4 linked regions of the Ovis aries genome follow. The protein of the gene in region 2 binds, or shares a complex with, the protein of the main gene of each other region. Links are inferred from orthologs where the notes say so. Each region holds a gene or a part of one and is shown on either strand. Other genes may lie near its edges. The genes, in order: SLC7A8, SLC3A2, SLC7A10 and SLC7A11.

Region 1 (7,377 bases), on a different chromosome or scaffold from region 2:
TTGGAGGCAGGGGGCTGGCAGATGGGCTGCTGCTGCTCCATGTTCTGGTTCCTATCCTTCATCTTCAGGTCCTCGGCCTCCTTGGGGTACACAACTACACACATCTTCTGACTCACCAGGGTCAGCAACTCTGTAGGAGGAGGCCACACAGAAGGCAAGTCAGTGCTGAGCATCCCACCAAGCCAACCAACCAGGCCAAGGCCCTTCCTGCTCTCCTGCCTCAGCATCTGGCCTCAGCTAGGCTCCTCTAGGAGACTCTCCAAGAGATGGCCGCCTTGACTGCCTCCTCCATTTCTGGGACACCTATTTGCTGGCTGCTCCTCCTCATCAAGGCCCCAGGCTCACTGACCACCAATTCTGGGGTCTCCACCCAGCCCATGGCAGCCTCTCCAGGATGACCACACTCTGGCAGGCCTAAGGTCTGCGTGGAAATGCCCAGAGTTCTCCTCTCCTCGGAGGTCTCTGAGCAGAGACCTTTCCTGTGGCGACCCTTTCTCCAGTGCTCTGTAGACAGCCTCCTGCTCCTGGTGGGGCTCTCTAGCCAGACCAATGACCACTCGACTCCAGACCAGGGGCCCTCCGGCTGCCCATAATGTTCAGCAACTCACCAATGAACTTATTGAAACACCTGGGCTTGTGCTGCCAGTAAATACCCAGGAAGTAGACCGGCACCCCTGTCACCATGATGGCCAGGCCGATGCCACACACCACGGGCTCTGACCACAGGCTGAAGAGCAGCAGGAAAGCCCAGAACAGCAAGTAGATGATGGGGAACAGCAGGCTGACCTGTGGATCAGAGTTGCTGTTACCTGTGTGGACCCTGTGGCCCCCAAGATCAGAACATCTTCCCTCTTCTTCCCAAAGGGAAGCATTTGGAGGGCAAAACTGGGCTTCACTCAGCTCTGTGGCTCCCCGACCCTGAGCCTTGACAGAGCAAGTGCTATGTCGAGAGATGTTGGTGAACGTGGGCAGTGGGACAGTAAGAGGAGTGTGGGGGCCTAGGGAGGGGACAGTCCTCACTGTCGTCCCAGGAGGGATCTAACAAGGCTTCTTCATGCAGCTGCATGCCTGCGGCAGTCAGAGAAGCCCGTGGGGGTTGACGGGCTTGCTGGTATATTGCTCTATGTCTGCTGAGGGCTGAAGGTGAAGGAGAGCAGAAGAAATGAATGAGGGCAAGAAGGAAACTTCCTGTCAACCAGACCCCTACCCTCTCCCAGCTGGCAGGGTGTGGGAAGTGTCCCTCCTCTCACCAGAGTCAGTTCCAATTTCTTGTAAGCAATTTGAAAGATAAACCTTAAGCCATTTGAGCAGATAAACCTAAGACCCAAGAAATCAAGAAAGCTAGTGTGGTATGAGGCAGCCCGGGGCCTTGTTTACTTCAGGAAGGAGCAAACTTTACAGGCCCAACATCCTCTTGTTGACCACAGGTGGGAAGTCCCCCATAGTCTTCCTCAAGGTTCTAGACTTACTGCCTTTCTCCTCCTTGTCCTCTCCTCTAGGAGGGTACGCAAGTGGTAAGGAGATGGCATTATTCTGCTTCCTCTTCCCTCTAGCACACCTTCTAAGCATGGCAGGAGAGTGGCAATGGAAAACAGAGATGTGAAGAGCATCTAGTCTCCCTGCGTTTCCAGAACGTGTGTTAGTCGCTCAGTTGTGTCTGACTATTTGTGACCCCATGGACTATGGGGTAGCCCGCCAGGCTCCTTGGTCCACGGGATTCTCCAGGGAAGAATATTGGAGTGGGTTGATGTGCACTCCTCCAAGGGATCCTCTTGACCCAGGGATTGAACCTGGATCTCCCGCATTACAGGGAGATTTTTTTACTGCCTGAGCCACCAGGGAAGTTCATTTCCAGAACAGGATTGTTCAAATAGCTCAGGGATATACCCTCTTCTTCTAATTAGCAGGAGAACCTATAGCACTCTAGCATATGTTGTTCTGAGCAATCCCATTTATTCCTATCACAAAATTATTTCTTATAAATCAAGAGATTTACCAGGCATCCTACAGCTATAGTAGTCTAAAAAGGGAGGATCATGGAGTGCTGAAGTGGACTGGGAAACTTCAAGAGAGGTTCTTGAGGGTGGAAAATGGTTAAAATTTGGAGAGGGAGATGGGAGAAGGAAATTCATTCTGGGATGAGATGGAAAGACTGAATGAGTAAAGCCAGTTACGTGGAGGGACAAGGCGGAGACTAGTCAGATTAGAAGGTCCAGGAAAAGTCAGCTGACTTTTTAAAGACTTAGAGCCATAGGAAACAAAGGAATGACACGATGGAAACAGTGACATGATGGAAGTTATCAGGTCGTGGAACCTATTCCCCTAGCTGCAGTTCGCTCTGGTCCCATGGAGAATGGAAATGCCTGCCCCCTTTACACACAGCCTTTGCTTCCCAAAGGGTCTCCCACCATCGTGGAGATGGTGAGGCTTGGTCAGCAGTGAGAACAAGGTGATTTAAAAGAATCTGAGCTCAGCTAGAAGCAGTGGAGGAGGAGGAAGGGGAGGGGGCCCCACAGGGAGGTTCTAGCACCTTAATGGGGCGATTGATGTCCGGCTTCTTCCAGCGAAGAACTATCTGTCCGGCAACCGTGACGCCATAGAAGAGGTAGTTGATGAAGCCCACGTAGTTGATGAGCGTGTATATGTCGCTGGTGACAAGCATCAGCAGGGTGGAGATGCACTGGGGGGCGTGGAAGAAGCTCATCAGTAATCAGAAAGGCACTGGGAGACCACAGATAAGCTGTTTACTGGTGGCAGGCTGCTCCCCTGCCTCTAGGCAGACAATGCCATTCCACAGTGGGATCTCTCAAAATGGAGACTTTATAGCTTCTCCTAGAAACCCAGGTCATTGCTAACAGCTTCATCACCAGGAAGTTCTTTCTTACTGCAGGAGTGATAATCAAAACATTTAACCACAGGCACAACATGGGCACTAACCACTCAGAGCAGATGCTGGCTGTATACACCTGGACTGGCAATGCTGGTGGCACGCAGCTCTATGCCACTCTGGGCTCATTTATATTTCTTCCTTAGTTGAAGCTCAAGCTAATTTTGTCTTTTATCCCTTAGGGAAGACTGTTAACTGCAGATTAAGGTTCATTCTTGCCCTCATCCTCTTTTCCTGGTTGAGTCATCTAATTTATTTTTCTTTCTTTCTTTTTTTTTTTTTTTAATGTCATAAACAGTTATATAGCACTTCCTAAGTGTCAGGCTCTAGTTTTAGCATTCTGCAAATATTAACTCATGTAACCCTCATAATATCCTTCTGAAGTTTTCTGGACAGAGTTCACTTTCCAACTTCAAAATTATCTCAGGGGATCTCTCAGAAGCATATTCTTTTCCCTCTGCTAATTTGTTAAGGCCAACAGAAGGCTCAGTTCTCCTGTAAGATCTGATGGTGAAAATAAGAAGAATTTAAGGGATGAAAAAGCCAGATTCTTACTGTAGTTGCCTTGTAGTCATAAAGAAAAGAAAGAAAGTGAAGTCGCTCAGTCACGTCCGCTCTTTGCGACTCCATGGACTGTAACCTACCAGGTTCCTCTGTCCGTGGAATTTTCCAGGCAAGAATACTGGAGTGAGTTGCCATCATAAGCCTGCACCAATGGCACAAACTAAAAAAAAGCTTGTGGCTTACTGGGAGCACTGAGCCTTCTCCAGCTGCCTTTCACCACTAACCAATCAAGACGACCTTCTTCCTGTATCGGAACGTTCTGAAATTTCCCCTAATGTACAGTGAATGCCCTTGACTCTTGAGAGTTCTGCTCTCTGATCTAACTGCTTCTCTGTTAGACCAAAGTCATTTTTGATATTTTAGTTGGGATCCAGAAGGAAAAACAAAAAACCAAAGACTCACTGGGGATGTCTTTCTCCTTCTGTATGCTCTATATAAATGATTCTACTCTGGTGTAATTAATTCCGCCTCCATTTACCAGATAACCCCCTTGTTTTCTTTTCTCCACTTTCAGTTTACCAGTCTTCCCTTCTGATTTTTCTTATTTGGTGTGACACCAGATTTGGTGAACACCAGATTTATTTCAGTGGTGTTTCCCCAGAGACTGGCAGAACCTCCTCCGGCAAGAAGGTCGATGGGGAAGGGTGGGAGTGTGCTGTGATCAGCCAGGAGCAGAGGCCCAAAGCTGCAACCCTGCGGGTCACAGGGGCAGGAGGAGCCAAGGAAAAAAGCTTCTTTGTGAGCTTCTGGAATCTGGAAGCAGCTCCTTCAGTCTGACTCAAAAGGATGGAAGAATGAGATGAGCCGGCCTGGGAGCCTTAAGGCATTTCAGGACTTAGGCTCCTTCCTTGCTATATCTCTTGATATTAATCAGGCCCATGTATACCATTTGCTAGATTATCAGAGGCCCCAAGAAACCTAGGAGGACAAGGGTAATAGCAGCACATGTGGGAAGTATGAACTCCCAGTTCAAAATAGCACAAAGGGGGAGGGTGTGTATAGGGCTGGCAGAGGGAGGGACCCTTACTGTGAAGAGCAAGGCTGGGATGGGGGTACAGCGCTTCACGTGGATCATGGCCAACACGCTGGGAAGGTGGCCCTCCCTGGCTCCGGCAAAGAACAGCCTGGCAGAGAGAAAAGCAGGTCAGCCTGGACCATCCAAGGCTCCCTCCCTAGCCCAGCTCCCTCTTCCATGTCCACCTCTGCCCATACAGGAGCATCTCCACTCCAGCCAGGTACTTCTCGTGCACACCTTCCAGCCCACTAGTCAAAGGACCCACGTTCACAAATGCAGGTGCAGGCAAACCAGAGGCAGTCAGTGGATATTTGGATGGATTCAGGGCTGTGGAGACCTTGAGTGTGGTCTGCGGTTCCTGATGACGTGCTGTTACTCTGAGAGTCTCTCACAAAGCTTGGAGAGCTGTAGGAGTAGCCCCTCTCCTTTGCTTAATGCCTTAATCCCTTAAGAAATGTACCTCCCCCCTCAGAGGATATAGGTTCTTTGGGGCATGGGGAATAAACTGTGCATGAAAACATATATCTTGGTCAAGAAGTAGTTGCCCTTGTGGGGGTTGGGGAATGGATTTGGATGAGGAAGGGACACATGAGAACTTGGCGGGGGGGATACGTGGAAATGTTCTATATCATCGTGTTTTGGGTGGTAGTTATACGGTTGTCTACAAACATCAAAATTCATCAGTCTGAGCACTTACGATCTGGTATGTAAATTATACCTGAAAATTTATATCCTTAAGCTACTTATTCTAATCCCAAAAAACCATCCTAAAGAAATGCATACAGTTAGTAAAAGGAGTACATACAAAGATATTGTAAAATAAAAAAGATTGAAAAAAAATAGACAAGAAACTCAAACTTTTTTTTTTTTTCTGCACTGTACCCTAGTTTATAGGCTCTTAGTTCCTTGACCGAGATTGAACATTGGGCCCTTGGCAATGAAAGCATGGAGTTCTAACCACTTAACTTCCAAGAAACTCGCCCAAAATTATTTTTTAAGTTTAAAATAATGATAATTTTTCTGTCTGAGATATTTGTAGACTCATATGCAGCTGTAAGAAACAATGTGACCTTACGTAGACTTCACCCAAAACTCTCCCATTGGTAATATACTACAAAACTATACTATAGTATCATGACTTGGATATTGATGTTTACAAATTATTTTTTAAAAGAGAGATTTTAGGGAGTTCCTTGGTGGTCCAGTGGTTAAGAATCTGCCTTCCAATGCAGGGAACACAGGTTTGATCCCTGGTTGGGGAATTAAGATCCCACATGCTGTGGGGCAACCAGCCCACACACAGCTAGAGAAGCCTGTTCGATGCAGCAAGACCCAGCACAGCCAGGATAAAAAGAGAGAGAAATTTTAACGTAGAGAGCAGCCCTTCTTCCTCTTTCCTCTCCCAAGAAAAAAGAGAATACTGTAAGCTGTTAGGAGTTATTTACATATTAGCAGAAATTAGACCACTTTTTCTTTTTTCTATGATTTTGGAGGGAAAGGATCAGCTAAGGGGTGAGAGGAAGGGGATGTGATGGGGGGGACAGAATGGCACAGAGTCAGCACGCTGGGTGGTCTGGAGAGAACTGTCACTTTGTCATTTGGGTATGGGAGAGAGTGGGGCTATCAGCAGTAGCTCCTGAGGACTGTGAGGGTTGATTATGGCCCCAAGTACCCATATGCACACCATCGTTGCCACCATCAGCAAACTCGCCCATTTCAGTTTCATGCAGCTACATGGCATCGCCTCTGCAGGGCAGCCTCATGCACCCAGCAGGGCCCCAGGCACTCTGTGGGCCTCACCATGCACATAACCAGGGTCCCACGTTCATCTCTCTCCTCCACATGCAGCCGGGACCAAGCGAGTTGACAGGTCCAACAGCACTGGCAAGTCAAGTTCACAAGAGACAATCGCTGCCCGGCGAGCCAACCACGGAGCAGACAGGACATTAAGCATGACACACACATACACACGCCCACTCCTCAGGAAGAATCATCCTCTCCCTTCCCCCAAACACAAAGGAATAAGAGAGAGAAGGAGGGGTGGGGGGAAGGAACTGGAAGGATGAGCTGAGGAGGCCTGCTGGGTGAGCTGTGCCTCTGACTCCAAGGCTGAGCGCACCGGGCCACCGCCTCTGCATGCACACACAGCCGGACTACATGCATGCAGACCGCTGCTCAGCCTGCCCGAGGGACAAACCCCACTCTAAAGCAACTGGAGCCAGTCACTCTACTCCAGTAGATCCCAGAGAGCCTCATGGGTCACTGATCTTCCACCGCTCGCCCTTGGCTGGGGCCTCCAGGTGGCCACTGCTCCTGTGTAACACGCATACGAGGTTGCTGTGGGTGAGTGCTGGAGGGTCCTGGGGTGCAGGGAACACCCACACTCCCTCTTCCCTGCCCTGCCCTCTTCCCTTCCCTGTCCTGAAAACATGACACTTGTTTGTCATTTCATGGGAACTCTGCCCTATTGTGACTGGGGGCTTGGGAAGCAGCTGAACTCAGGGGCTCACTGCTTGTGAGGACTATGTCCTTGGGGGAGGAGGGGTTTCCTAAGAACCCTGGGAGGACCCTCTGAGCCACAGCAATGGAAATCATCCATTATCTGCTGGGCTCAACCACCCATTCTGGAGACAACAAGAAGGGACATCAAAGAGGGGGCCAGATGTCCGGGTGTGTGGAGGCGGGGGCTGGGGACTCCTGGGTCCACTCACACCTTGGGCTTCCCTGAGAGTTTGGGGTGAGAGATATGGCTTTGGACAAATGTTTCCCTTTCGTTCTTCCCCAGTTGTCTCACTTCACACCCCTACCTGAGTCTCATGGTGGCCACAAAAGGTCCTCCCACAACTGCCTGTCTGTTCAACAGGGAGGAGCCTGCACCCTCAGGGCACTCAGAGATGAGCCAGTTTCACCT
Region 2 (8,105 bases):
CTACATTAGATTCCTGTAGAGAAAAAGAAAAATGAGTTTTTTCTTAACTGGAATTTCACAAGTATATACCTGATGGGCTTAACAGTTATCCTTTAAACATGGTTAGTGTATTTAATACAAGTGCACGAACAGATACTTACCATTATGTGTGCTTTGTTCTTTCTTCAGATCTAGGGGGAAAAAATGAAAATCTGCCTTTCAACCAGTCATTTATTCCCCTCTTTGCCTTGTTGAGTAATTCTCATGATCCCTCAGACAGTTCCCTCTGGAACAAGCTTTCCTCTTCTCCCCCAGCCAGCCCCAGTGGGTTCACCTTTACAGGCTCTGGGACTAGGACAGGAAGTAAGACTTGTGAGGATTTCTTCACTGGGAAATTTTAACTTGACACACCTTGTGTTTAAGTCTACTCACCTCTCAACTTCAGACTAGAGCTGAGCAGATATATGGATGGCTTACTCCTTTCCCCTGCAAAAGATTGGGAACTAAGTCAACTGTCTCCAGGACAGGCCCATCTATAAAAGCTATGTAGGTTTCAATGGACATTTTACAGAATCACCAGCTAGTCCAAAACGTTTCCTGTTGGCTATAAAGCCACTCAATTTCCCACTACAGTCACTTTTTACTCCAAGGGAAACTCACAGCTCAGAAATACCTTTCAGTCATAGTGATCAGACTGGGGCGGTATTGAACTCATCACTGGTGAGTGGCAATGTCACGGGTGGTTCACTAATGGCCAAAGACAAACTTACTTTGGATTTAGCAAGTCATGTCTGCAGTTATTCAGAGCACCAAACAAAAACTGGTGAATTCTATACAGCAGCCATAGATAATAGACTTACCTAAAATCATTCTCAGGCACCAGACAAGGAGCTGTACCTAAAACACAAAGGCAACTAAGTCAGTAATGCTGGCTTCTTGCATTATAAGCTATTACTGTCTAAGCTACCATTCCCAGAAAATCAGATATCCGAGTCTCAACAGCAAATCATCAGCCGAACGAGATTCCATGTAAGTCATCACAGATGCCTAAAAAGGCATTTTCTCCCACTCAATACATTGTATGCACATATGGAGGCCACTCACCTCTGAGCGACGGTAACTGGCAATGTTACCTACAAGAAGGACAAAGCTATGAGTGATACAAATTCCACACACACAGTACCCCACTGTTGTCTTTCCCAGTTTCTCAGATGTTCATGTCTTTTCACTGTTTAAATCATAGTGAGCTAGTTTGATTCATCATAGAAACTGCCTACTTGGTGGTGTATGCCATACACACATTAATCAACTAACCTTTTAACTCTGGAGGCTTTCCAGAAGTGTGTATAGTAACAAGCTGCTCCTGAATGAGAAAATCATGTAATTAGCAAAATATCTAAAACAACCAAAACTATTCTAACTAGGGTTAATGGATAACCCAAGCCAAGCAAATGCTGTTCATTTGCTGTACCTCAGACAATTCCTCATGGAATGAAATTTCATCCTTTCTCCCAGTTCGCCCCAGTGGGTTCACCATTACTGGCTCTGGGGCTAGAACAGGGGTAAGACAGGACGCCTGCTTTCTTCATTGGCACTGGAGTTAAGCAACAACAAGCAAGGTTACAAGTACTCACCTCTGGACTCTTTGTAGGAGTCATCCTGAGCAGATGAAGAGGCATCTAGGAAATCAATAAAGATAAAATAAAAGATCAAGAAACAGCATTATCAGAAACAAGAGAAATCCCTCTATTTCCCACAATACTGAGAGAAGTAACTTACTGTAAGACAGATGACTCTATTAATGCTGTGACAATCTACAAAAGGGGAGAAAATGGTTACTCCAAAATACTAAGACGAAATAAAATTTCTTCATTAACAGAAACTGCCATCAGAACTCTAACATGCTATTAACTGTGGTACCTCACAGAGGATCAGCATTATCAATTCAAATCATCTGACAGTGAGTGATGTGTGGGTGAGGGAAGAGCACACCCTCACAAAACTATGCTGCTTGCTGGGCTGCCGACTCCCTCCCCAGGAAAATCATTCCAAGAGGAACAAGTTGGAAGGAGCAAAAACACTGCTCCACTGACCATTTGCTCTCGGGGTTGTTGAAACCACCACAGACCACAAACTTCCCATTTGAAAACTTACCTGCATTCACTCTGGGAGGCAGTTGAATTCCTCAAGACTGGTGAGGAGATGCTGGAAACAGAAAAATGAGCCATTATTTTTTAGTACTCGAGAACTACCATTAAAAGACCCTGGAGCATTCCAGGCCCACTTCTCAGTAGTAAGATGACATCATTTTTGAGTTCAGGCATATGCTTGTCATTTTACATTCATCATGGAGTGGCCAGTGCAATTTCAACCAGCAAGTCCCATCCCGACATTGTGCTTCTACCCCCCCATCTGCATAAAGCATCGGGTACCCACCTGCAGCATCACCACACTTGATCCACAGAGGGTTAAGTCTTGTCTCATCCTCCAATCTGTAAGCTCCTTTGAATTAAACCACATCTGGGAGAAAAAAACAATACCCTTTCTTACTTTTATATCTCGTAGTTTGACTGTCCCACGTTAGTGCCTTAACGCAGGGCTAAAAGCCCAAACGTCTGCTACGGATGGTGCTACTCAGAGTTTTTGTTTTCTCCACTAATCCATCAGAAAGAGAGAGTTCAATTTTTGAAATCATCCCCGTAGCACATCCCGTCGGACTCCCGCATATTCAGCAAGGAAGAAAAAAAGGACAGTAAAGGGAGGCCAGGAGCACTTACTCCAATGAGACCGGTTTGAGATCCTTCAGCGTTTGGCGCGCGTCCGAACCCTGCAAACAAATGATATTGGGTCAGCACTGTCTGGTAAACGCTTTGTTTCCCGGAGCTAAGACTGCGTTGCCATGCAAGGCCGGCCTCCTCAGAGTTTCTTATCCTCACAGAGTTCAGTACAGGTCTGTGAAAAGGGTCTCATCACAGAGAGGCCTGTCGGCACGGCCGGCCATCGCCATCTTGTCCTTCACAAAGCCCCCGTCCCTTCAAGGCCTCAACACTAAGGTCACGTTTTCTCTCCTCCCCCACGAACCCAATAGGTACCACAAAGAGAGGCCAAGGCCCGGACACGTTTGCACGGGCGTTTTCCTCGTAAACCTCAACAAACCAAATCACTTACCAAGAGCTGTGGATAAATGAGACTGAGAGGCTACCGCGAGACACATAAATACTATCTCGCAAAGGCCCACGGGATTTGGGGGCGGGACTACGGCGGGCGCAAGCGCAGAGGGAAATGGGTGGATTGTGGGTAGAGATTTCTAGAGGAAGTACGAGAGGCTGTGCGCCTCCTGAAGCGGTGGCGCGAAAAAGGTGCGCATGCGTCTTAGGGTGTGCGCAGGCGCGACTAATGTGGTGCCGTGGGTTCTTTACTGCGACTTCTTTTGGCGCCCAGGCGGCGAGTTACCTGCTTCGCGCAGATCCTGGACTGACGCTCCGTGTCGGTCACAGCTGACTGACCCACACCCTTCCCTGAGCATTCCCTTGCTTGCACACACTCTAGATCCGCGTGCAGAGTCCTAATCCATGGACCACGAGCCTCATGAACCCTCCGCTGGCGTCATCTCGGTTCCAAGCCAGCCGCCCAGCGAGCCTTCTGGGCCTGGTCCTCAGGGGCTTGGTCCTCAGGGGCCCAGCGCGGGGGGCGACTCAGGTATTACTGGGCCCCGGGCCGATCTCGAGTGGAGGGCTCTTGCATGGAACCGTTTTGGGAAAGTGAATCAGGTTGTAGGTGCTCTTGAAATATTATAACAGTTTTAGGATATTTTCTGTAACCGGCCACCTTTGTCTTACTGTCTGGTCCGATTTTGCTCGGAGCTTGTAGTGGGGCTAGCGTTAGCCGACATTTAAAACGCCGTTTTAAGGACATTGTGTGTGTGTGTGTGTGTGTGTGTGCGCTCAGTCGTGTTTGACTGCGATCCCATGGACTGTAGCCGGCCAGGCTCCTCTGTCCATGGAATTTTCCAGGCAAGAATACTGGAGGCCATTTCCTACTCCAGGGGCTCCTCCCTACTCCAAGAGATCTTCCCAACCCTGGGATCGAACTCGCATCTCCTTCCTCTTCTGCCTTGGCAGGAGTCGTCTACCAACTTCGCCACCTGGGAAGCCCCTTAATGCAGATTACCTGGAGGGAATCTAGGTGTAAAAAGCTTTTGCAGAGCCGCGTACAACTCCCGCCTGACAGGCAGGGTGGTTCCAGTCATCTATACCCTTGTTACTGAGGACAACCAGTTGTAGTTTAATCATTTGTAATGCATACCTAGGGTACATGACCGTTTTAAAAATGTACTATATGTACATTTTATAACCATTTATTAAGCTCTTACTGTGTGGTCTCCTGGATGATCTCATTTACTACTGCAACCCTAGGAGGAGGCCATAAGGTAATGTTAGGGATGAGGAGCCTGAGATCTGGAGGGGTTAATTAACTTGCTCAGAGTTACCCAGCTAAGAAATATCAGCCCAGGTGCAAATCAGCCCAGGCAGTCTTGATGACAGAACCTGCACTTTTGATCACTATCACTTCTCTGGGTATTTAGGGGGCAAACAAGTACACAGGAAACAAATGGCATGATCCTTGGATACTGTTTCTCAATTTTTTTTCTTGTTGTCTTCCTCTCTCCAGGAGCCTTTAAAACTAAAAAGCATTTCCCCCTCTAACTTAATATAACTGTGTAGGGCTTCCCTTGTAGTTCAGTCCGTAAAGAATCTGCCTGCAGTGCAGGAGACCCGGGTTCGATCCCTGAGTTGGGAAGATCCCCTGGAGAAGGAAATGGCAACCCACTCCAATATCCTTGCCTGGAAAATCTCATGGACACAGGAGCCTGGTGGGCTGTAGTCCATGGGGTCGCGAAGAGTTGGGCATGACTGAGCAACTAACACATATAACTGTGTATTTGCTTATATACTGCGGCCCTTTAGAGGGCCAGAAAGCTTCTGTGTAATATCTAGGATTTTCTGCCCTCTTCCTGCTCCAAAAGAACCAATTTTCACTACTTTGGTGGCAGTGTTGTCCCCATGCATGTCCCAGCGAAACAAAAGTGACAAAACAAATACCAAAAGAATCCCAATTTGAAAAATGTTATTATAGCTAGACTAAATTCATGTATTCAACAATGTTAGATGCTTGTCCAAGTGGGTGATTGAAAAGTTGTAACAAAATGTATAGAAAATGAAACAGATAAGGAAAATTCAGAAGGTCCAGAGTAGGCAAGGAGGTTGTTTGTGGGCATGGTATTTGGAGAATGTTTGTGGGCCTTAAAGGGTAGATAAGCAGATCCAGGAAGGAAATTCAAATTAGAGAAATAATCTGAGTGACAAGATTGGAGCTGGAAAAGTGTATAAATATAGTTCATGAAAGATGGGTTGAAGGGGAATCATAGAATATAAAGTTGGAAAAGATTTCCTAGGGAAGGCCAAATGAGAAGGGCTTGAAATACAAAGCTAAATAATTTGAACTATAGGTAGAATAACCTATAAACCAGGACTTAACTTGGTGGTCCCGTTAAGACTGGTTATGACTCTGCCTCCACTGCATGGAGCATGGATTTGATTCCTGCTTGGGAAGCTAAGATCCCGCACACTACACAGAGCAAGGTGGGGAAAAAGGGGTAAGTTGAGACAGGACATTAATTAGATTGTCACAGTAATTTAGGCAACAGATAAGTGGATTCAAGCATGATGAAAGGGAAATAGGAATGATTTATAATACATCAGAAGTCCTCAACTCACACCTGCAGGAATGTAAGTAATGCAGGTAAGCCATAGGAGCCTGATAGGGATCTTGATATGCTTGTCTTTGCTCCTGCTGAGTGTGCCTTGCCAGAATATTGTCTGAAAAATTTGATCAGGAGAATCCAGAAAACCAAAATTGTTGATTAATTTGCTCCTTAAAAATGTTGGCATGTTACTTAAAATTTTTAAGCATTTTCTCTGAGCCAATCAGAATATGCCTGTATACCCAAGGTGGCCCATGAGTGAGTTTGCATCAACTTCTGTAGTAATAGAGAATCCACTTTAGAAAGAGGGAATGTTAAAGATTGGATATTTTTTTTGGAAGTTGTTAACAGGTTGAGTGACTTAAACATCAAAACGGAAAAAAAAAGCCAGTATTCTTGGCAGTTGGAGATCATGGCCATGACCTTCACTTAATGTTTATTTTACCAATACTATTTATCTGTTGAGCATCTACTGGGTACCGGAGATACAACAAGGAACAAAGCAGCCAGTCCCCTTATGCTCCCTTGGAGCTTATATTCTGGAAGAAAACACAGAAACAGACGAATAATACGTCAAGTGGAGTTAAATGCTGTGGTGAAAATTCGACTTTGCTGGTGATACAATGGTTAAGACTCTGAGCTTTCACCACAGGGGGCACGGTTTTGATCCCTGGTCGATCCATGCAGGATGGCCACACACAAAACTGAATGAAATGTGTGTGTGTGCATGTGTAAATATATTTGCAAAAATATATATATATATATATATATTTGCAAAAGTGGTACAAAAAGGTTAGACTGTTACATAAAGGGAAATGAGAAAAATGAGATGAAAGAATTGGTGGAGGTGTTTTAATGTTAACCTGTATGAAGTGCTTTCTACGGCACTTTCCTGGCACTGTACTGAATGCTTTGCACATGTTACCTCAATTTGAAAAATAGTTTTTGTGGTTACCATCCTCATTTTACAAATAAGAAAACTGAATTTTATATCAAGTTACTTACTCAAGGACACATAACTAGTGTGGCAGAGCTGTTATTCAAATCTAGTCTCTACTTTTGACCCTGTTAAAAATGATCCAAAACTTGGAAATAGGCAAAAGTTATTACCAGGTGTCCTTTTGATAAAGGTAAAGCAGGCCTACCTAACTTGGGGATTACCTGGTTTTCCAGTGGGGCGTGTGCCTTCGTTTGATGTCCTTTTTATTGTTGCTCTAGGTATTTTGTAATTTGATAAGATTGCCTTCTAAGACGGAGAAGGAAATGGCAACCCACTCCAGTATTCTTGCCTGGAGAATCCCAGGGACAGGGGAGCCTGGTGGGCTGCCGTCTATGGGATCGCACAGAGTCGGACATAACTGAAGCAACTTAGCAGCAGCAGCAGCCTTCTAAGACATTGGCTGGTTTTGTATCTATCTATTAGAAGGCAAATTCATATCATTCTTATCTGGACTTTAAGCTGATGATCCTCCTTTCCCAGCATTCTCTTTTGAACCAGTTTTAAATTTTATGTATTCCCTTGTTAACTAATAGGTTGAATAAAATCTTTGATGTGTTTATATAATTATGAGTCATATTTTCAGTTTTTAAGATTATACTTTAACAACTCCTGGGGTACATTGCCTTTTGTTGGCCCATTTATTTATTCATTCAGAAAATATTTGTTGAGAGTCAGGATTTAAACTCAAGAAGTCTGACTCTGGAAGGAGCTTTAGACAATATGCCAGTGGAAGTCTAATACCATGCCACCCTCTGGCTAACATCTTATCTTGCTCTTTCCAGCAAATGTCTTTTACTTTAAAGATCTGTCTATACCTGCATCACCTGGATGTCTGTTAGAAATACTGAATCTCAGATCTTTCCACAGATCAAATGCGCTTGCATTTATTCAAGATCCCCAGGTGGTCTGTATGCACACTAAAGTTTAAGAGCACTGGATTTATACAATACTGCTCACTTCTTTCTCAGGACACTCTTCTCTCATCCTACTTGATCTCTCAATAGCACCTTTTTATCCTGTTCACCCAGTTCCTTTTTTTAAAATCTGGTTTTTCTATGCCATCACAGAAACACATGGTAACACCCTTTGACCTACCATGTCCAGTGACCCCATTTCCTGTTTCTTAAAACACTGTTTCCACAGTGCTTGGGACGCTGCCCTCTTCTAGTGTTCCTCTTATGTTTTTGCTATTAATAACTTCTTCATGATCCTTTGAGGTATATCTTCTGTCCCATTGTTCAAACATTAATGTTCCTCCAGTTACATGTTGTTCAGCCACTAAGTTGTGTCCGACCCTTTGGGACCCCATGGACTGCAGCATGCCAGGCTTCTCTGTCCTCCACTATTCTCCTGGAGTTTGCT
Region 3 (8,109 bases), on a different chromosome or scaffold from region 2:
CTAGGTCCTTTTACATATGCCCATCTTTTCAGTGAGCATGGCTATGACAGGGCCTCCTTCTGCCACACTGGCCTGCTGGCCTGACAGAGAACAGCTCCGGGGCTCCTGGGCCTTGTCAGGGACTGGCGATGGGCCAGGCCTCCTTCCCTTGCACTGGGCAATGAGTCCCAGCACCTCCCCATTAGGATGTGACCTGTGAGATTTCCAGGGAAGAACTCAAAATTCCTGCTGGTAAGTCCCAAATGTCCTGGGACCATGGGCAGGGCCAACGACTAGTTGAGAACCCCTAAATCTGAATTCAAACCCTAGGTCCCTTGTGGTGGGGGGCTGTGGACAACTGCTCCACTCTCTGAACCTTCTCATCTGTAAGATGGGGAGATGGGGGAGTGATGTGGTTCCGTACTCATCCCGTCTGCTACCTCAGAGGTCCTGGGAAGTGTTTATGGGTAGTCCTAATTGCTGTCTACTTTGGAGACACCCAGCCACCCAGGCTGGCCTATGGAGACCTGAGCCCCTGGGGACCTCAACACCCTGGGGTCAGCAGCCAGAGCCCCGCTTTGGGGGCCTTGCTATTGCTCTGGGTGAAGCCTCTGCCTCCCAGTGTCCTGGTGGTGAGCACGTGTCAGGCACCCCTCTGGGGGACACAGGTGCCCGCTGAAGTCGTGGCAAAACTCCAGGGAGGTGAGCGGGGACATTTCCAAGACATGCCTGAAATTTCCAATCAGCCAGTGTGTACCACCAGACTGACCCACTTTCCTTTTGAAAGGGTGATGAGCAGAAGGACATGACTCTCTTCCCTGGACCTACTCATCTCACAGTCTTCCCAGATCAATGAATGGCAAACCAGGCCCCCAGCTGCTCAGGCTCCAATCCGCTATCACCTAGACTCTACTCGGCCATATCCTTCATCCAGTTCATCACAAGTCCTTTGGCTCAATCTTCCAGACATGTCCAGGACTGAACCTCCTCTCAGCACCTCCATTAACATCACCCTGCTCTCTGCCACTATTATCTCTTACCCCGGTGACTCCTGACTGGGCTTCCGGCTTCAGCCCCTGTTGCCCGCAGCCTCTCCCCCAGAGTAAGCCCCAGGCCACGTCATGCCATGCCATCCTGTTCTATTCCGTCCTACTCCACCCCACGCCATCCCTCTTCTGCTCAAAGCCCTCCTCGGGCTCCCATCTGACAAAGAAAAAGAGGCAAGGTCCTTACTATGGCTGCAAGACCCACAAAGACTGGACCCCATCCCATGCCTGACTCATCTCCTATCTATAAACCTCTCTCTATCATCTTCTCACCTTAGCATGTAATCATGACCCCGTCAGCTAAACACTCAGCTGGCTTATCTTGTTTGCTCTTCGACTTCTCACGCTGGAACGTCAGCTCCAGGAGGATAGGGGTTTGTCTGTCCTGTTCCCTGTTGTGCCTCCAGCATCTAGAACAGGGCCCTGCACTGTTTGGTACCTAACTGTTGAATAGATGCATGAACATGACCGGTGCTGGCCAGCCCCACCCTTGTGGCTGGAGCTGCCTCAGCCCCCAAGGGTGTTCCAGAGCACACCAAAAGCATCTGACCCTGGGCCTCAGGTCCCTACTTCTCTCATCTGCAAATTGGGGCTATGGTGAAGCAAAGACAGGCTGGTGGGCGAGGGTTCTGAAGAGGGCTATTCTGAGCAGCCCAGAATCTCCAGCCCTGGAGACAATGGAGGGACCTGGCCACAGCTGGATGCATAGGTACTGGCTCCTAAGGAGATGGGGTTCAGAAAGGAGACCCCAGAGCCCCAGAACACACTTGAGCCTGATCCACAAACACAGGCCAGATATTTGGGTCAAAGGGAGACAGTGGAGGCCAGGACAGCCTGGTCAGCAGACCCAGGTGGTTCTCACTCTGCTGAACCTGGGCACAGTCCCTCCTTGGGCATGAATTGGGGAGGTAGCTGTTTGCGGTCCCTGAGTCAGGACAAGGGATCCTGTACATACAGCCTTGGGTGGGGGTGAGGAGTCACAGGAGATTTCTCTGTCCACCTGTTTGTCTATTTATAGTAGAGTGAGGAGTTCAGTAAATCTTGGTTGGATGAGCTCCCAGCTTAATCCTCAACCTTCCCCTATCATGGGCTCTGAATCTGGCTCTGATTTTGCCCTGCACCACAGCAGTGCGAAGAAGCACGCTGGACTGGGAGAGGAGTCCAATTCTGGTTCCAAATAGCAAGTCCACCCCTTGCAGCAGGATCATTTAACTTTCAACAGCAGTTTCTCTATCTATAAAGTGGTATGAAAATTCCCATCTTGCAAGGTGGGCAATCACGTGAGATAAAGGGAGACCGTGTTTTCATAATGTAGCCAGGCGTGGTTTTCTGAATAGATGGATGTAGTGATGTCTTGCACAGCTCCGGCCCCAGAGGACTCTTTTTCCTCCAGGCTGGTTCCCTATTCCCCTCCAGCTGTGCTTGCTTCAGTGGTCCTAAGCACGTTTTAGGTGGAGTCTTTTTCCAGCCCAAAGCCCTACTCAGCCTGAGGTAGGGGCTGCAAGGGGAATTATAGGTTCTTCTGGGAGAATATTTGGAAGTTTTGGAGATAAGAAGAGTAGCTGCTAACAAACAAGAAAGATTATGAAGAAGGCCATAAAGTTCTCAAGACTTTTTAGGCTAAAATAGGACTCTCTGAAGATATTTTTTACTCTGACCAGGCTCCCCAGAGCAGGAACGTGAGATAAGACGTGGGAGATGTGGCCCCTGGAACAGTGAAGAGGGGACCTTCAGGGTGTCAGGAGGGAGATGGTGGTGCAGTGATTCAGCCCACACCTGCCTCGTCTGTCACCTTCTGAAACAGGTCCATTCTCCCCTTGTCTGTTTTCTGCCCAGGCTAGCCTCCCACCTGCTGAAACCCTTCAAAACTCCCCAAGTAGGGTTATAGGACCACCCCTGAGTGTCCTGGGCTGCGGTCAGATCATCTGGGCTCTGTTTTTGAGTCTGCCACCCTTGGCTAAGTCACTCCTAAAGCCCAGCTCAGTCTTCAAGGTCTGAGGCCAAGGGAACAGTGGCCCTGAACAGCAAAAATGGCATGAGAGGTGGGGAAGCTGGGAGGGCAGACCCGTGCTGCACAGAAAAACTCCTGCTGAGTTAGCCTCATCTGCTCCTACCATCACCACCAGGGCCCTCTCAGGAGGCGAGATGAGCCAGCAGCCTCTGCCTGACTCAGGGGAGTGGGGATGGGACACGGGGAGAAGGCAGAGTAGGTCTATGCTTGAGGATTCTGGGTTTAGCTGAGGCAGCCCAGGAAGAATCACGTCTCTCTCTGTCCCTTCTGGGCACCGTAGCTGGTCAGCCTCTGGACTCCCTGGTCCACCCACGATGTGTTGGCTTCCTCTTGCTGGGGGCACAGCTCCTGGAGAGGGTGTGGGTCAGGGCAAATCTCTAGCCAGTACTCTGACTGAATCCCTGGAAGGAGCCTGTCCTCTCAGCAGACGGACAGGGGCACTCGAGGTCAAGAAGGGCTCCAGACCAGATCAGGATCAGCCCCTAGAAGATACCTTTCCAGGTGCGAGGGGGTGAGACAGAGGGGTACCTACCTGCACAGGGGCTGTGTCCTGGGGCAACTCTCAGTGTGAGTGTGGGGGTTGACCAAGAGCTAGACCCCAGACTTGGCCCAGGAGCTCCAGTGCGGGGGCGGGGGCGGGCAGCGGAGGAGGAAGTGAAGACCCCAGACTGTCCTCCTGAGCCCCCAGCTTTTTCCATCTCCAGGGATCCGAGATGAACAAGCAGCTCCCACTGACTGGGGATGGGAAGCATGAGCAGGTGATAAAGGGAAAGCAGTCGAAATCCACTCCATTCATCCTTCCAGCCCGTGTCTCCTGGGACACTGGAGGTGGAACAGACTCCTCCCACAAGGGTGTCTGGGGCACCTTGTGTGAACACAGGTCTGGGTTAGCCAGTTCCTGAGGTGTCCGTGTTCATGACTTGGGACAGCAGGAAGAAAATCCCACCACTGTTTTCACTGGGCCCTGAGCCCTCTGCCCACCCAGAAGTCCCCATATGTGGGCAGGATGTATGCACTCATTCTCAGGTGGGGAAGCTGGGCCAGAGAGGATGCGAGTGGGGTCCCAGCCCAGGAAGCCTCTCTGCAGGTGGGATCTGCCCACCCCAACTCAGCCACCCCATCACTGCTGATCCGCCCCCCTGCGCCAGGGTCCAGCTGCAAATCTTGGCACTAATTACATTCTCTGAACCCATTTCCACTCTGGGCTGTTTCTACCTGTCCAGGCTACCCACAGTCCCTCCTGCTTTGGAAGAATAAATCCTTCACACGCTCTGGCACCTGGACCCTGCACACGGTAGGAACTCTGCTGGAGCGACAAGACCCAGAACTGGGGGGGCCTTAGCAGGAGGCCAGCTTACAGTGTCCGCTCACTTGGCAAGGCTCCTGCACTCAAGGCAGGACCACATGTTAGAGATGATAAGACTGAGAGAAACTGCCCTGCAGAAGTTTAAAGAAATAAGGGTGGCAGGAGGATTCCAGCGGTGGATGGGACCTGCACCTCGTTAGAGCGCTGAAGTTCGGGCCACTTGGGAACTCTGCGGCTGGGGTGTGAAGGGAGACGCCGCATGTGCCGCGGGCGTGCATCCTTCATCCATGGTCCACCGTCGCGGACCGCTAGGCGCACCCGGAGAGGGGTGCTCCTTGTCCCAAGCCGCTGTCCGCCTCAGGCCTCACCGCCCCAGGCACCCGCCCGCCCCGGTCCCACTCACCGATGATGATGGTACAGGCGCTCACCAGCCCGATCTCCTTCTTGAGCGCCACCCGCTCCGAGGTGCCCGGGCCGGGACCCCGGCCGGGGGAGGGCGAGGGCGCAGGGCCCGGGTTCCCGCGCCCGCTCGGCTGCTGCGTGTGGCCGGCCATGTCGCTGTCCCGCCGCGTCCCCGCTCCCCGCGCTGCCCCGTCGGTCCGACCGGCCGCCTGTCCGTCCGGCTATCGGTGCGCGCCGCCCTCGCAGCCGGGACAGCGCCCACAGGCGGGCGCATGCGCGGGCGCGGGGCCCGGGCCCTGAGCCCCGGCGGCGGGGGCCGGGGAGGGGCGGAAGGAAGACCGGCCGGCAGCCCCCTCCCCCACCTTCCTTAAAGGGAACTCTCCCCCCCTCCCCGTGGCTCTCCCCGTCCCATCCCGGGCCTGGAAAGAAGGAGAGGACTTGGGGCAGACTTAGGAAGAACTTCCCAGACCCAAGAAGGCTTAAGAAGTGGGTCTTCCCGCTGCCTGAGTTACAGCCATTCCTGGGGTGGGGGTAGGGGAGCAGGGCTCAAAGGCAGGACTGTCCCTGCCCTCAAGGAGACTGAAGGAAGCTGGCCACCATCATAGCCGTCTGTGTGCTGAGATCCCCTGTGCGCCAGCGCTGCCGGACCCCTTACATCCTGGCACGGGTTCCTAGAGCGCGAGTGCCAGGAGAGGGATGGAGGTTGGGCCCATTCTCCGGGTGGACGCTGAGCTCCCGGGACAGAAAAGGGAGCTGACCGAGTGGCTTGCGCCAGGTGCAAACCCTTTCCCATGCCGCCTTGGCCTCCTGACAGACGCTGGGTGGAGGGTGTAGGAGCTACAGTTCTCCAAGGGGTATAGGTTGTGTCCGGGATCCCCTCGAAGGGGTCAGGAGACCCTAAGCCCACGCCATCAAAAGTCTGGGGAGACGGGGTCGGGGTGAAGACTTTGGAGCCCTCAACGGCCATCCAGAGGGGACCCAGTGCCTCGTGGGGGGCCTGGGAGGGCTTGGGCTCAAAACCCCACCTTCCCTCGCTCTCCGCCCAGCCCGGCTCTGCGCTGAGCCTGGCAGGTTCTATCCACAGGTGAGAATTCGGGCTCGGTGCACCAGAACTCGGGTCTCTGGCGAAGGCCCCGCGCAGTCCAGCCAGCACCAGGAGACGAGGCCAGCTCAACTGCCCCGGAGACGCGGAGAAGGGGGCCCTGGCCTCTGGGGTCACAGGCGGGGGTCGGGTGTGCAGAGTCCAAGGGCGGTTGCCGCTGCCTCCTCCTCCCGGAAGCCGTCAGGACTGCGCAGCCCGGCCCGGCGGAGCAGACACGAGGGGGGCCGCGTCGGGAGCCACCAGGGCGGCGGGAGGGGAGAGTCTGGCACGGTGCGGCCGGCGGCGGAACAGCCTTTGTCCCTTCCTGGCGGCCGCCGCGACGCGCTGTCCCCTGAATGCGGATGAGCCGCGCCGGGCGACCCGCGTTCCCCCCGCCCGCGGCCTCCGACGGGCGGACGGGGGTGGGGCGGGGTCTGGCCCCGAGCTGGGCTGCGCGCGGAGCGTCGGGCTGCCGGCGTGGCGGCGCACCGGCGTTGCAGGCGAGGGGGACCTTCGGAGCCGGGGGTGGGGACCTGGGAGTAGGCGTGGGACGACCCTGGCGGGACGCGGAGGGGGAGGCCGCCCGGCGGCGCTGCAGCCCTCGCGCTCCCGTCGGAGTCCCGCATTCTTGGCGCCCTCAGCCTCCCGCCCCAGAGACGCGTTCAGCGCGGACTCTCTTAAAGGAGCCTCGCGCGGGCGGTGGGGTGAGGGCAAGCGGCGCGAGCTCTGGGGACTTTTTAATTGTCGCGCGTGATGGGGGCTGGGGTCTGACCTGTTCGACTCTCCGCACCCAGCTAGCCTTGCAACGATAAAGTCTGTTGGGAGAGGGTCCCTCCAGGGTTGGCATGAGCCTCACGGGCCAGGGGCCTGTGGTTTTCCAAGGTGAGCCTCTCATGGTCCTTGAAATGTGGAGTCGGTGTTTCAGGAGGTGGAGGGGGGTTGACCCTAGGGCACTGCGCAGAATGGAATTTGCATTTTGTTTTCCAGGGCCACAGTTCAGGAGGTCATTTTAGTGGAATACACCTGAACTTGCAAACCCTGATGGGAAAAAAAGTTGGCAAGATTGGTTTACCATCCAAATGACAAGAGGTATATAAGGCCCCACATTAACAGGAGGAAAAAATAAAATCATAGGGTGTTCTCAAAAGATTCAGAAAACAGTCTTCCACGATTTAAACAAACCAAAAAACCTGTTAGCAAATTAGAAACAGTAAGGAGATTTCTCAGTTTGATAAAGGTATCTTACCAAACCCTCCAAAATACAGGAAACAACAAACAAAACCCATTCAGTAACTTCGTGCTCAATGGCGAAATGATTGCTTTCCCACTGAGACTGGAGATGAGAAGGAATGTTAGTTAGCACTCTTTTCTATACAGTACTGGGAGGGTGGTCCTCCCAGTGCAATAAGGCAAGAAAAAGAAGTGATAAGACACAACCTTTTAATGACTAAAATCTGAAATACTGACAACACCAAATGCTGTCGAGGATGTATAGCTACAGTAACTCTTACTGGTTGCTGGTGGGGATGCAAAATGGTACAGCCACTTTGGAAGATAGTTTGGCAATTTTCTTAAAAACTAACATACTCTTATCATACAACTCAGCAATCGTGCTCCTTGGTATTTACCCAAAGGAGTTGAAAACTCACGTCCACACAAAAATCTTCAGATGGATGTTTATAGCAGCTTTATTCAGAATTGTCAAAACCTGGAAGTAATCTAGATGTCCTTCAGTAGGTGAATGGCACATCTACAGTTTAGATGATAGAATAATGTGTGCTGTGCTTAGTCACTCAGTCGTGTCTGACTCTTTGCGACCCCATGGACTGTAGCCCACCAGGCTCCTATGTCAATAGGATTCTCCAGGCAAGAATACTGGAGTGGGTTTCCATGCCCTTCTCCAAGGAATCTTCCCAACCCAGGGATCAAACCCAAATCTCCTGTACTGTAGGTAGATTCTTTCCTGTCTGAACCACCAGGGAATCCCTTAAGAGAATAATACTTAGCACTAAAAAGAAATGCACTATCAGCCATGAAGAAACATGGAGAAAACTTAAATGCATGTTATTAAGTGAAAGAAGCCAACCTGAAGAGAATAAAAAAGGTATGAAGATAGGAAAGGAAAACATACGACTGTCATTTATATGTAACACTGTTGGATAGAAAATCCAAAAACACTTATATTATACAAAACATTTATGTTTATGACTCAAGGTTAATCAGGTAGTTTAGCAAAGTGGCTGATTTTAAAACATAGATGAAGAAGAACAAAGCTGGAGGACTT
Region 4 (7,377 bases), on a different chromosome or scaffold from region 2:
CCATGTCTGACTCTTTGTGACCCCACGGACTGCAGCACGCCTGGCTTCCCTGTCCATCACCAACTCCTGGAGCCTCCTCAAACTCATGTCCATCGCATCAGTGATGCCATCCAACCATCTCATACTCTGTTGTCCCCTTCTCCTCCCTCTATCATCCCCTTCTCCTCCCTCTATCAATCTTTCCCAGGTTCTTTACATCAGGTGGCCAAAGAATTGGAGTTTCAGCTTCAGCGCATCCTTCCAATGAATATTCAGGACTGATTTCCTTTAGGATAGATTTGGATCTCCTTGCAGTCCAAAGGACTCTCAAGAGTCTACTCCAACACCACAGTTCAAAAGCATCAATTCTTTCTTTATAGTCCAACTCTCACATCTGTACATGACTACTGGAAAAACCGCAGCTTTGACTTGATGGACCTTTGTTGACAAAGTAATGTCTCAGCTTTTTAATATGCTGCCTAGGTTTGTCATAGCTTTTCTTCCAAGGAGCAAGCATTTTTTAATTTCATGACTGCAGTCACCATCTGCAGTGATTTTGGAGCCCAGAAAAATAAAGTCTGTCACTGTTTCATTTCCCCATCTATTTGCCAAGAAGTGATGGGACTGGATGCCATGATCTTAGTTTTCTGAAGGTTGAGTTTTTAGCCTATATTTGATTAGGTCATCACAGATATTCCAAATGAAATACTGTCTGCAACTTTGGTAGCTAGTTTTTAAACTTCACATCTGCTTAGGAACAAGGCTGAGTGCTGTCAGTTTTTCTTCTTTCCTCCCATATTTAACTTTTTGCTTAAAAATCTAGTTTATTACTTGAGATCCAATAGGGCTGGGCCATACAAGAAGTAGTCTCCTTTCTCAGTAAGTCAACAATTAAACTCCAGCAGAGTAGGGATGAGTTAACAGCACAGTCTAATGGGTTCAGAAAAGGAACACAAAACTCAACTTTAAAAAATTACTATTAATAAATGTTCATTGCAAATATATGCTTACATGCTTGACATTGTATTAGTCTAGATTTTTCCAAACAGAAAAACCTTGAAAAGCCAAATGATTATTCTTAATTCCATAGAAATATTTAGGTGAAAAGTATGTGTTGAGAAACAAAATTAGTCTTGTAATTTTATAAATAGAGAAAACATGAATGAGATAAGAAAATGAAATAAGTTCAGGTATATAGTAAAACAGGTGGCAAATGATTCTATTTTAGCTTTTCAATTTTCTGTTAGAAAATGACACAGGCCTTTCCAGTTTAAATATACTGCATATGAATGCATGTTTGTTAGATACACAGGCAAGTCAATGGAATTATTAAATTTCCCATGCCAAGTCTTCCATTTTAGTTTATCTTCCATCTCATGGTTACTCAACCTCCAGGTCTAACACCTAGATTGTCAGGAAACCAACCACTATTATGTATTCCAACCCTAACCTGCTGGTATTAGAAACCAAGATAGATTTATTTATTTTTAATTGGAGGATAACCGCTTTACAATATTGTATTGGTTTCTGCCATGCATCAATAGGCATACATATGTCCCCTTCTTCTTTTTTTTTTTTTGTCCCCTTCTTCTTGAACCTCCCTCCCAGCTCCCACCCAATCCCAACTCCCCTAGGTTGATACAGAGTACCAGATTTGACCTCCTTGCATCATATAGAAAATTCCCACTGGCTATCTATTTTATCTGTGGTAATGAATATGTTTCAAGGCTACTCTCTCAAATCACCCCACTCTCCTCCTCCCCCATGTCCATAAGTCTGTTCTTTAGGTCTGCATCTCCACTGCTACCCTGCAAATAGATTTATCAGTACCATCTTCCTAGATTCCATTCATATGCGTGAATAGACGATATTTGTTTTTCTCTTTCTGACTTCACTGTGTATAGCAGGCTCTAGGTTCATCCACCTCACTAGCACTGACTCACATGTGTTGTTTTACAGCTGAGCAACGTTCCATCGCATATATGCACCACATCTTCTTTACCCATTCACCTGTCAATGGACCTCTAGGTTGCTTCCATACCCTGGCTATCGTAAACAGTGCTGTGATAAATACTGGGGTGCCTGTGTCTTTTTCAATTATGATATCTTCAGTGTGGATGTGCAGTAGTGAGATTTCTTGATTTTTTTTTCCAAGACAATCTCCTCCTGACCACAACAAGACATTTTTCTAATTATCCATCATTTATAAATTTCTGATGTGTAAATTAAAATCTAATAATGTCATTTTAGTGCTTTCAAAACACAGTCAGAATCCACAAAAATCCTTCAATACAAGGCTCCATCTGGTCAAAACTTTCCCTTCCTCTTCCGTGTGCTTTCTCCCACTAGAAGGATATGGATGCCCTTTGCCTAGAACCCCTGAAACTCACTGACAGTTTCTTATACCTCAGGTCTTAGTTCAATCTTTTTCCCGAGGAAGCTTCTTCAGTCCTCTAATTGCGTTAGATCTCCCAGAGTATTCTCTCTTGTGGAACTTCATAGCCCCCCTTTCACATGTGTATCACAGTAGCAACTTTTCATTCTCTTACACGATGTCTTGATTGATAATTGTTTCCCTCACTTGACCGTGAGCTTCATGAGTATGACTGTGTGCTTATCAATCACTATTTCATCCTCAGTGTGTGGTAAAGCGTCTAGTAAATTGTCTGTCACACAACAGAAAACTAATGAATGCATGGTGAATGCATGAATTCAAATGACCCCGATGTATGATTTCTTTTTAAGATTTGTTACAGATTATTTCTGACAAAAGGGACTTAATCTGAAGTACAATTTTAATAGCAAATATTTAGGTACCATGGGTACTTTCAATGGAAGAGGAATGTTATATTACTCAGGTACTTTGTCACCCCTCAAGTCTTTCATTACTCTGAGAGAATAACTGAGTAATGTGAGTCCTTATTACAAAGAAACATACGAATCCATTACAAAAGCTAGAAAATATATAGGTAATTGCTTCCATAAACACATACCCAGTGAAGTAGCTGTCTAAGGTAATACGATTATAAGCTACTTGAGAATAAGAACTGAGGCTCACTTCACTTTAGATCTTTTTAACTTGCCATACACCATTCAGTAGCATAGTCTGTGGAATGAGCAGATGAATGAATGAGCACTGTGTTGGTGCTACTAGTGCAAATGGAATGATCAAGACCATCATAACGCTGAGCAGTTAACCAAAGTATGGCTAACCAACACAATTAGCCAGTACATGGCTGGAGAGGGACTCCAGCTCAGCTGTATCAGGCCCCAAAGCCCACTATTCTGACAGGCCACCACTCTAAATAAGTATTGTACTTATTTAACTACTGAGTATATTTTATTCAAACTATTAGGGTTGGCAAAAAAAATCTGTTAGGGATTTTTCATGCCATCTTAATGGAAAAACCTGAATGAACATTTTGGCCAACCCAATATAACTTACTGAAAGATTGAATATTTACTAAATTTTTCAACTGCTATTCAAAAAGAATTTAATATATGACAATTAGTTGCATTTAATATATGACAATAAGTAGTATAAGAGTTACAAAAAGCGAGAGACCTGGTTTTGTATGCTTGAAATGCTTGCAGTTTTAACAGGGAAACAGAGCATAGATTCCTAAAATATTCAGTAAGAATATAAGCCAACATGTTCAATGTCAAATGAGAAGCAGAGACTGCATTTTTTTTTTTTCAGAAGAATTAAGAGAGGAAAGAAATACTATAAACTAGGGTGAACAGGAAATTAACTGTGGAAAAGATAGAACTTAAGTTGACCTTTGAAGAGTAATCTTCATATTATCAGAAAAGAGTGGAAGGCACCTCCCAGGCAAATCCCAGAGTTTAGAAAAAGAACAAAATACTTCTTTATCATTATTTCATAATAATAAGTTTTAAATAATGCAAAATTGCTTAAAATGAGAACAGACTTAACAAAGATGTAAATACTATTCTAAGCTCTTTGCTACAAAAGAGACTCCTAGGACTATAAAAAACAAGATTAGTGTTAAGTCAATACTTATTAGCTCTGCATTTACCACTTAGCTCTAAATGATAGGATAAGAGCTCACAGGAGCTTTCAGCTGTGTAAGTCTGATAAGTTTACAGTAAGAACAAGTTTCTTTAATTATTTCTGTTAAATTCTGCTGTCAGAATGTGCTAGTCACATTTCATGGAAGCAGTTTGCTTTAAGGATAATCTGAAGTTCTCACGTGACATCATAAGTTTCCCACAAAATTGGAGGAAATTTGCTATTCAGAGTGACTTAGCATTATTTGGTTTGATTTTAAACCACGGCAATCAGGAAGGGGAATGCATTCTTACAACAATATAATCAAAAAGCTTTTCGCAACTGTAGTTCACTGATTTGTTTAACGTGAGGATATGAGTCATTGTGACAAGTGTGTGTGTTTGTTTTGTTTTGTTTTGTTTTGTTTTGGTGGAATATAAAACTTGATGACATACTAAGTTGCTAGGAGCAGAAGTTTCCTAGTCACGAAAACTGAGTAAACTGAAGATGGCTTAATGGTGTGATCTACAAGAAGGAAAACCCCAGTTCCTAGGAGAACATTTAATTTTGTCAAATTACAATTTATAATCAAACAAAAGGTCTGATTTATCATGGTAGATTTTGACAATTCACATTCTTTTAGGTCAGCATCTTTCCTGAAAATGACTTAGAGAATAGTTGAATGTTAACAACAAGCAGATGCTTTGAAAGTTTGGCATGGTTAGAAAACTACTGCCAGTGGCAAAATGGCACTAAAAACATCAATTGAGAAAGGTATTTCATCCCAGATTTTATGTCCTGAAGGAGACATATTTACCACATAGTCATGCATATTTCTAATTATTTAAAAATAATCAAAGTGATTCAAAAATGGGATAATGAATAGGTTTATTTTTCCTTAATCTTTTTTCTGTCTAGGCTCTTACCGTATAATGAGTAGTTCTACCCAGACTCGCACAAAAGCTGGTAATGGGCCAAAGACTTCTAGAATATACGTGTAATGACCACCAGATTTCTTTATACTAGTTCCCAGTTCAGCATAGGACAAGGCTCCTGTGAAATAATTAAGATAAAAAGGCACAAAGTTAAAATATTACCAAGTCATCCAGCAGTAGAATGGACACAGCAGTATTTCATGAGATGATACTACTTCCTTTGGTTTGAATGACACCCTTTTTCAAAATAAACAATACTAATCAAATTCCTAAGAACCTCCAAAGTCCTCTTGTAACTTCCTCATGCTTGAAATCTCGTTCATTCTGTTCAAGGTAATTTTACCTGAAATGGTAAAGACAAACTTCTAAAACAATATAATATTATTAAAAATTTTGAATCCACAATCCATTTTTGAAGAACATAATTTCACATCAAGACAAAGAATTATATCAAATTGACCTCATTATATTGAGCATCCTTTTAATAAATGATGTTTTTGTGACATATCAAAATAAATAAAATTCCTCTCTTCTCCTCAAAAGTATGGACTCAAGGTTTTGGAAGGCTTCATTTAATTTATAGGGTATGTTTTGTTTATCAACAAAATTAATTTGACTCAGATATTCTCTTTTTGAGAAAGTTTCTTATGGATGTATTTCAGAGTATCATTCCTGGGTGACTGAAATAAAAGTTTTGAAAAAGAGATGCTTTAACATATTTATGAACATGGAGATAAAATTAATTATGAACCAATTTTTAACATTTAGCAATAAAATTCACAAAGACTTGAGCAGATTATGTAATCTCTCCAAACCTCAGTTTCATCCTCTGAGAAATAAAGATTTTAATTCTCACCTCATAAGGGGATTGTGTGTATAAGTATGAAAATGAATGCCAAGGACAGTAACAGGCCTGACACACAGAAAGCACCTCATGAAATACAGCTTCACCTACTACTGTGAGCAAGTTATTGTATATATAATGAAAAGTATATCTTGACATTGTGTGAAAAGTTCTACCCATACTGTTAAGTACTCAAATGTAAGACATAATTTCTGCCTGAGCTACTCTGGAGACTAAAAGCGTGAGAAATTATTACTAATCAATAGAGCTTCAGGTAGAACTGTCCAACATAAACGTAATTTGGATATTCAGCAAAATCTTAATGTTGCTTATCCTATTTCCAAACTAGAACTCTATCAGAATCACCTGGGAATAATTTTTTAATTAAAATAAAAAATACAAGCACTAAGGCCATCCCCCAGACCTCCTCTTTGATCAAGAGAAGCCAGACTCTTTGACAGAGGCATCAAAGAAAATCTATAATTTTAAAATTAGCACAGCTAATTCTAAAGTAACTTAGTCTACAGATGGATAGTTGGGAATCACCGATACAGTTTGGCCATTTAAAACTAACTATAACTACCTGCAGTTCATTCTCTATTGGAAACCAGTTGCCATGTTGGTAGAGTGTACAAAAAATCATCCAATATTAAATGTTATTGGAAAATGTCTTAAGAACCTCAGAATTTATCTCCAGAGACTCAATACCTAGACTTGTGTATTCTTTGGTTAAATTCCAGGATGGTTGCCCCAGGTTTAAATTGAGTTCTGGGAAAGTGAAATTTTCATTTGAAGGTCTCAAGCTCCATAACCATATTAGTCAGATGAAAACAGTTCAAAATAGGATGTAAGAACCCATGTATTAAACCTGGCTTTAAACAAAATTGTAAACACAATATACACATTCTATACTCTTAGTTCCAGAGTTTTAAGACAACGAATTTTTTCCCTTATATTTTGCTTTGCTTTCTGTTAGGAAGGCACTCCTGTCAAAAGTTCCTAGGAGCTCAAGTGACCAATGTAATGCAAACATCGATAAATAGATTAGTATAGAAGCATATTCCCTGTGATTAGTAATCAAAGAATACCAACTCAAGTGTAAACTTAGCTAGTCTCATTAGTTTATTTTTAATCACTTGAGATGACACACTTATGCAGAAGCATATTTTCTTAGTACAAGTCAACATCACTTTAACTAGTTAATGCTCAGAGCCACCCATTTTATCATATCTGAAGAGCCTTTTATAGTATACAAAAATGGAATCACATAGTGGGAGCTGCATGCACACAGGATACAAAATCCAGGAACCTGGCTATGGTTTCTCCTATTAGACAATGATTTATTCTGAATATACCAAGTGTTGGAGAAGATTAAAGGCTGAGGGCACACAAAATCATTTAAGAAGATCAATAATTAGGTTTCTCTTTGTCTATAAATGTATATGCCACAAAATATGAATACCATAAACCCTTTGTAAACACCTAAATATAATTCCTCTGTTGATATTTCTATATTAAGTTTTTATTTCAACAAGTTTTGTTTAAAATACTTTCTTCCTAATCATGAAAATTTGAGTTCTCTAGATAAATGTTCAAACCAATGCATG

What was found.
Region 1: the proteins of SLC3A2 (region 2) and SLC7A8 are in contact, whole or in part, in a cryo-EM structure (PDB 7CMI), measured with the Homo sapiens proteins. The link is inferred for Ovis aries from reciprocal best matches to the Homo sapiens genes SLC3A2 and SLC7A8. Residues at the interface, in NP_002385.3 of Homo sapiens: Thr162, Gly163, Leu164, Ser165, Lys166, Glu167, Leu170, Ala173, Gly174, Trp178, Arg182, Leu185, Phe189, Trp190, Trp193, Met196, Leu197, Gly199, Ala200, Ile203, Ile204, Ala207, Arg209, Cys210, Arg211, Leu213, Lys532, Arg534, Asp558, Gln559; in NP_036376.2 of Homo sapiens: Leu147, Leu150, Phe151, Pro152, Thr153, Cys154, Phe155, Pro157, Ser159, Gly160, Leu163, Leu164, Ala166, Ile167, Leu170, Leu171, Trp174, Gln294, Ser352, Met356, Val359, Glu481, Thr484, Leu485, Gln488, Lys489, Met490, Cys491, Val492, Val493.
Region 3: the proteins of SLC3A2 (region 2) and SLC7A10 are in contact, whole or in part, in a cryo-EM structure (PDB 8WNT), measured with the Homo sapiens proteins. The link is inferred for Ovis aries from reciprocal best matches to the Homo sapiens genes SLC3A2 and SLC7A10. Residues at the interface, in NP_002385.3 of Homo sapiens: Phe161, Thr162, Gly163, Leu164, Lys166, Leu169, Leu170, Val172, Ala173, Trp178, Arg182, Leu186, Phe189, Trp190, Trp193, Met196, Leu197, Ala200, Ile203, Ile204, Ala207, Pro208, Arg209, Cys210, Arg211, Glu212, Leu213, Arg534; in NP_062823.1 of Homo sapiens: Leu147, Val150, Phe151, Asn153, Cys154, Pro157, Ala160, Val163, Leu164, Met166, Ala167, Met170, Leu171, Trp174, Ser352, Val359, Glu481, Thr484, His485, Trp486, Gln488, Glu489, Leu490, Phe492, Val493, Val494, Tyr495, Gln497.
Region 4: the proteins of SLC3A2 (region 2) and SLC7A11 are in contact, whole or in part, in a cryo-EM structure (PDB 7P9V), measured with the Homo sapiens proteins. The link is inferred for Ovis aries from reciprocal best matches to the Homo sapiens genes SLC3A2 and SLC7A11. Residues at the interface, in NP_002385.3 of Homo sapiens: Glu167, Leu170, Ala173, Trp178, Thr181, Arg182, Phe189, Trp190, Trp193, Met196, Leu197, Gly199, Ala200, Ile203, Ile204, Ala207, Arg209, Cys210, Glu212, Leu213, Lys299, Arg534, Gln559; in NP_055146.1 of Homo sapiens: Leu151, Phe154, Phe155, Ile156, Gln157, Cys158, Glu159, Pro161, Leu163, Ala164, Leu167, Ile168, Ala170, Val171, Thr174, Val175, Val178, Gln217, Gln219, Val360, His373, Thr487, Gln489, Ile490, Ile491, Glu493, Val494, Val495.

What each region holds. Positions count from the first base shown.
Region 1 is NC_056060.1:21,541,238-21,548,614, reverse strand, and holds part of SLC7A8 (large neutral amino acids transporter small subunit 2), read right to left. Parts: intron 4,576-7,377; coding exon 4,479-4,575; intron 2,681-4,478; coding exon 2,531-2,680; intron 787-2,530; coding exon 609-786; intron 131-608; coding exon 1-130. UniProt on the Homo sapiens protein: Associates with SLC3A2 to form a functional heterodimeric complex that translocates small and large neutral amino acids with broad specificity and a stoichiometry of 1:1.
Region 2 is NC_056074.1:37,692,711-37,700,815, forward strand, and holds the start of SLC3A2 (amino acid transporter heavy chain SLC3A2), read left to right. Parts: upstream 1-3,399; 5' UTR 3,400-3,551; coding exon 3,552-3,678; exon of another isoform or gene 3,679-8,105. UniProt on the Homo sapiens protein: Acts as a chaperone that facilitates biogenesis and trafficking of functional transporters heterodimers to the plasma membrane.
Region 3 is NC_056067.1:43,152,048-43,160,156, forward strand, and holds the start of SLC7A10 (asc-type amino acid transporter 1), read right to left. Parts: upstream 5,007-8,109; 5' UTR 4,897-5,006; coding exon 4,746-4,896; intron 4,483-4,745; exon of another isoform or gene 1-4,482. UniProt on the Homo sapiens protein: Associates with SLC3A2/4F2hc to form a functional heterodimeric complex that translocates small neutral L- and D-amino acids across the plasma membrane. Preferentially mediates exchange transport, but can also operate via facilitated diffusion.
Region 4 is NC_056070.1:19,473,891-19,481,267, reverse strand, and holds part of SLC7A11 (cystine/glutamate transporter), read right to left. Parts: intron 5,045-7,377; coding exon 4,918-5,044; intron 1-4,917. UniProt on the Homo sapiens protein: Heterodimer with SLC3A2, that functions as an antiporter by mediating the exchange of extracellular anionic L-cystine and intracellular L-glutamate across the cellular plasma membrane.